2 linked regions of the Kluyveromyces lactis genome follow. The protein of the gene in region 1 interacts with the protein of each later gene in a pairwise test. Links are inferred from orthologs where the notes say so. Each region holds a gene or a part of one and is shown on either strand. Other genes may lie near its edges. The genes, in order: TAD3 and TAD2.

The links.
Region 2: the proteins of TAD3 (region 1) and TAD2 interact in binary tests that used the Saccharomyces cerevisiae proteins (3 or more experiments, as listed by UniProt). The link is inferred for Kluyveromyces lactis from reciprocal best matches to the Saccharomyces cerevisiae genes TAD3 and TAD2.

What each region holds. Positions count from the first base shown.
Region 1 is NC_006039.1:1,626,188-1,629,280, forward strand, and holds TAD3 (Tad3p), read left to right. Parts: upstream 1-1,545; coding exon 1,546-2,532; downstream 2,533-3,093. Other genes in the region: EST2 (telomerase reverse transcriptase), read right to left, coding at 1-1,263; NKP2 (Nkp2p), read right to left, coding at 2,538-2,993. UniProt on the Saccharomyces cerevisiae protein: Structural subunit of tRNA-specific adenosine deaminase, which deaminates adenosine-34 (the first, also called wobble position of the anticodon) to inosine in many tRNAs.
Region 2 is NC_006039.1:944,131-947,169, forward strand, and holds TAD2 (tRNA(adenine34) deaminase), read right to left. Parts: upstream 1,326-3,039; coding exon 609-1,325; downstream 1-608. Other genes in the region: SNX4 (Snx4p), read left to right, coding at 1-384; FSH1 (putative serine hydrolase), read right to left, coding at 1,559-2,287. UniProt on the Saccharomyces cerevisiae protein: Structural subunit of tRNA-specific adenosine deaminase, which deaminates adenosine-34 (the first, also called wobble position of the anticodon) to inosine in many tRNAs.

The sequences.
Region 1 (3,093 bases):
GGATTCTGTGAAAGATCTGTGCTGGAAACAATATTTATTCTCAAGCAAATACCTCCTAAAGTAAGATTTCAAAAAAGGTTGTGACATGGTTTTCCAAGTATCATGACGAATATAAACTATATCGACAGTCGACGATAGTTCTGTCACATAGAAAAATGTAGATAGTAATTTTGGGACGTAACAGGAAAGGATCCAAAAAAACAGTTTATAAAGAAGCGCTTGTCGATTTTTCACATCATAATATGGAATCTTTTGAGTTTGTTCACCAGCTGGAAGCCGCCTTGTTTCTAGCCATTTGACATCTTTCACACGCAATCCTTTACATAATTCATCAAATAGTATCTTTGAATGGAGCGGTTTTTTGACAAGTATTGCAATCGCTTTTGATAGAACGCTATAGTTTGAATTTGATCCTAACAGGTCCAATGGGAACGTTTTTCTAACACATACAATGAGCAGTTTGATGACACTTTTGGGTGATGAATAGAAAGTATCTGATTTGGGGCATATATTATTGATGATGTGTCTATATGAAAACCTCTCGTGAGCTCGAATGAGCTCATATAAAATGGGTTTTAGATTATTCAATGCAAAGTTTAGAGAACGAGGTGTCTTACTGCTCTCTGATATTTTCGGAAAAATCTCAGCTATTAACAGCCCCTGATCAGTCTCAATGATATTCTTGTAATCTTGCGGTCTTATCTTATGATATAGAGCAGAGTTCCAATCTATCGTTAGCTTAGTATTTCTTTCCCTCCTATACGACCGATCTAGCCATGCAGGTGGCACCTGAGGCGCGTTAGCGGGGGTTCCAATTATCTGCCTGAAGTAATGGCCGGTGTTGAAATATACGGAATAGTTGATTAACAAATTCACAAAATTGTCAGTGCCAACCAGCTGATGGAACAATCTCCAGCTATTACATTTCAATACACTTACGCTTATGTTCGATGAACGGCAAAACAGTTTGGTCATGACATCTGAATTCTTTCCCAGCTGGTAACCATAAGTCAGTATATTATTCGTAAAATTCTTGTGCAAAAGGTAGAGAATGCATGTTTCTATAGTTTCACAGTGATACGATGAGCTGAAAGTAGAAGATATTTCAATTTCAGGAGGTACGCAATGTTTGCTGTTAACTTGTGCGAAACAGCTGAGTAACAGATTGGATACCCCATTAGAGTCAGCATTGATCAGAATATCCGATTTTCTGAGGGTTTCATAGCACTCTAAAGATTCCAAATATTCGACAAGAATTTTCATCTAAACCAATTGATATAGGTCATTATTCGAAGTCACCTTAGTCATCTCGATGATCAATTTAAGGTTCTTATTAATTATTCTCAGTGTTCATCTTTCTTACGAGCATGATCTAAACTGGTAAATAGTGTTTCGTAGCCTATAATTTCTGGATATGAATTTTTCAATGATAGAAATGTAAGATGCGATGCGATGAGATGATATACTAATATGTAAAGGGTAAAGGAAATGGATGCTTAATTATAGCTCTAGATTTACTAGTTATTCACATGAAAAGCTAACAGTATGGTTAAGAAACATCTGAACCCCACTAAGATCGATTTTATAAAATGCATCGTCGAAGATTGCCTCTGGCAAATTCGAGATACCAAAAACGTTGATGTGCCTGATCTAGTTGAGGCTTGGTCTATCGAAGTACGTCCAAGGGAAAGTAAGTCAGTGATACCATTCGTACGAGGTATTCAGGATAATGACCCCGTTTCATTCCTTCATGTGAAACGGATCAAGAAGCTTGATAGCGACACACTACGAGTACTTATCGGCTCCAAAGAGTACATACCGGATAGATCAACTTTTGACAATATGCTGAAAGGAGTCGTTTTCCAGTATGACAATGTGAAAGACGATAACAAAGTACCGAAGGTCGGTCCATCGACTAAAAGCTTAATGTTGAAGTGGAGTGAACAGTATTGGCCGTTAATTTGGAGAGGAAATCCTAATGACCAGATATTAAACGACTATATATTTGACATGACAGAGATTCGGTCATTGTTAACCAAGATAGCAGAAGAGTCTCGAGCAATCCGAGATTCGGATAGCATGCAACTTCCAATAGTATCGGCATTCGTTAATCCAAAATCTGGTAAAATTATAATATCAAAGGATTATAGACATAGTGGATCTCCCCTCGATCACAGTGTTATGGTCGGAATAAATGAGGTAGCTAAAGAAGAGCAGGAGAGAAGAGACCGTGTCCAAAACGGTACCGCGTCAGAAAAAGATATACATCAAGGGGAAACTTATCTCTGCTTAGATTTTGACGTATACACCAGTCATGAGCCGTGCTCAATGTGCAGCATGGCACTAATTCATTCCAGAGTGAAAAGATGCATATTCATCAATCCTATGTCGGTCAGCGGTGCACTGAAACCTGATTCAGGTGATGGATACTGCATGCATTCAAACAAAGATTTGAACTCCAAGTATGAAGTCTTCCAATGGGTTGGTGAAGAATTGGAAGTGCCTGGAATAGATTCTACCGTGTGTTCTTGAGCTTTTCAACTAGAAGGTTGGTTGGTTTCCATGTCCGTTATTAATTTTGCAACATTATCGTACATGGAAGTATCTATTGCTTCAATGTCACTGAGTTCCATTGCATATTTCAAAAGTTTTGTATTTTTATTATCTAGTTCAATGTTTAATTGATTTAAATGCTGCTGCAACATATCATCAATGCTATGCAATAGTTTATTTACTTCCTCGAGAGAAATGGAGTCTTCAATTTGTTCCCGTTCGAGCTCAACTCTTATCAAAGACAGCTTGTTGTCGATGAGTTTATCTATTTTTTCAATGATCCGTTGATCATTCTCTTCATAACTTTTGTATAACTGTGACGCGATCACAGTGTTGGATTCCGGTATCGTTCTAGAAAATAGATCAACAAACTGATCCTCAGTATACAAACGTGAGACTAAAATGCCGTCTAAATGCTTGTATAATACTTCGTGGAGCATAGTAATTGAAGTAATAAGGATTTCGGGTATGTACTTTTTATTATTCCCAGCGTACGCATTACTGATTCGCGATGATCTTTGATCTTTTTCTATTTGTTGT
Region 2 (3,039 bases), about 680 kb from region 1:
AAACAAATAGATTACGAGGAGCTATCAGAGTATCTAACGCGATCCATAAATGAGAAGAATAATTTACTTTCTGGCTATGGGTCAGGAAATTATTTCAAGAGTAAACTGGAAGAACTAGCTGGTATCAATCAAGAAATGGCAAGAAGAGATAAGATAGCGAAATTAGAGACCAGAGTTCAATCTTTAACGGACGAAGTCGAAAAATCAAAACAAGTCGCTGATGAATTTGAGAAAGAGGTTCTCAAAGAGGTCGAACAGTTTGAACAAATAAAAACTTTGGAATTGAAAGATTCGTTAGCTGCTTTGGCTCAAAAACATATTGATTTTTATGATGATATGGTGGAGAAGTGGTCGAAGATCGAAGAACGTCTCGAAAGCGCCTGACGGCTGGATTTTTTTTTGAAGCCTCTCACTGTGTTTCAAAACACTACAAAGGCTTCGTAACAATTACGTAGAGACATCGATTAATAAGTTTGTACTTTTGTTTCAGTATTTATGACTATCTAGCTATCTTTATGCAATGAAAAAAAAAACGAAAACCAGAAAGAGAGTACATCCATCATGTTGTGAGCATCACTAAAACTTGGAATTGTTTAATTGTGTCAAACTCAATAAGTACAATTAACACTCTGCACCTGTTCAATCAGGTCATGCAAAAAACTTTCATCGCAGCCAGTATCTATGAGATCCCAATCAATTTCATCGTAGACGTCTCTATGCGAATAAAATGCATCTCTAAACTCCTGGCCAAATTCATCTTCAAACTCTTCGAGCGTTAAATACTTATCCCATTGTAGTGGAGGGAAGGTCTCTTTATCCAGTTTTCTATCTTTCTTTGTTCGTGGTTTGGGTGCCCTATCATTTTCTCTAACATAAAAGTAACGTAGAAGCATTATAGCTTCTCTGCGCAAAACGCCGGGGATGCTCACATATTTATTAGATTTATTTGTAGATGTATCATTATGAATGCATAATATAGATCCATTCCCACCAAATCTTTCATTTCCGCAACCAAATACTACCTTCTTGATACCCAACTGTTTTAAAGCACTTGCACACATGATACACGGTTCAACGGTGACATATAGCACAACTTCAGAAAGTATTTTAGGGTCCGTCCCATATTTCTCTTGAATTTGCTTTATGCCCATAAATTCAGCATGTGAGATGCCGCTGATCGACTCATTGGTACCATTCATCCCATATGCAATGACTTTGTTTAATTTTGAATGTACAAAAATACAGGCAACAGGGGTTTCTTCATGATCTAAAGCATATTTCGCCAGCGTAATGGCTGTACGCATATGCAGAAGGTCCTGGGACATCGTTTATAGTCGTTGCTGAATATTTCACCACGGTTTCTCTTGCATGCGCTGCTTTTTCTTGCTCATCGGAACTGCCTGGAAACGTTATATAGTTTCTTTTCGAACATACATTCCTCAATATTAACCTTATAAGAAATATTGACAGAACAGTAGAACAAACGACGAATTAAAGATAAAGAAATATGTATCGAGTCTATGAAATTATCTATGCTATCTTGTCTGTAATTCTAAGATTAGACACTAACTCCCAATGATGTGTTGATTTCTTCAACAATAGGTCTGATAATATCTTTCTTGTTTGGAACCATATGACCACCTGGATGCTCATAAGCCTTACAGTCATCTAACTCTTGACCTTTAGTGTAAATGTTGTATAAATACTTCGCTCTTTCACATGGAACAGCCATATCTGCGGTACCATAAACAAACAGCATCTTGGTAGTACGGTCATCCATAGGTTTGAAAGAATCTTGGAATTTTTGAGAGATTCTTAATTGTCCCTCATTTTCTGGATCTGGTTCAGTGAAAGAGTAAGCAGCGATCAACAAGGACACCTTGAACTGAGGATGAGATGGGACCAATTCGGTGATTTTGTTAGTGATGATAGAAGCCAATGCAGCACCTTGACTAAACCCAACAATACCGTCGTATGGACCATTATCCTTGATATATTTAGTGACAGCTTCAATAGCTGGGCTTAAATCCAATTCAGATGAGATGTCGCTATGATAGAACCATGCTCTGTTAACACCTGCATTAAGGGTTTCTTGCCACTTTGCATCGTCCATTTCGAAAGGCAAGTCTTTCTTTTCAAGGATCACTGGCGCATCCATGTAATCACATTGAACATTAGATTTCTTCAGTAGCTTTCTAATACCAGAAGACTTCTCACTGAAGACTTTACCATTTTGTAAGAAGCCTTGCAGAAACAGTAATTTTGGAGCAGCAGTTGCTGTAGTCATTAGTCCTGGATTTGTGAGATGTTGTCTTTATTTGTCGGTCAATTAGCAAAGGCTAGCCTCTTTACTTTCCAGTATTAACAGCTAGAAGTATGAACTTGATGTAGACATTTATTCACATATATATCCATTCTCTTAACTCCGAGAGGAAAAAAGCTTCAACTATAGGCTAAACCAACAAGGGTCAGCAGCTTAGGATTTCCACAACTTTTTAGACATGAAAATTACTATTTTTAATAAGACTATACCGCATACTCATTAGCTAACTGAATAATGAAGTTTGAGAATGACGGCCAAGCGATAGGGTAGTCAACTCGTCACTACCCTCTTAATCATCTACTGAAAGGTGTCTCTATTTCTACGTAGCGAAAAAAAATATTTAGTAAAAATATCGATTTCACAACAGCATTTCAATGCAAAACATGATAGAGGTGATGCTGGGTAAAGGTAAACGGACCGCCGTCGATACCGCAGTTTTATAAGATGTTCGGACACGTACCAAAGATACTGAACGGTATACGAGGCGCGTGGGCTAGGCCAATGGCTGCCTCCAGGTCTCTGTTCACTCATACAAAGTTCCATTGTAACAAATGTGAACGTACAAAAAACCATCTGTTATCGTATGTATTAACAAAGGGGACATGGTGCATTTGAAAGAAGAGGACATACAGCACCGTTTGCGAATGAGATCAGGTATCTTAGAAGCCGTGTTCGAGGGAGTGGAATTGGTACACCTTTACCCATAGATCGAGATG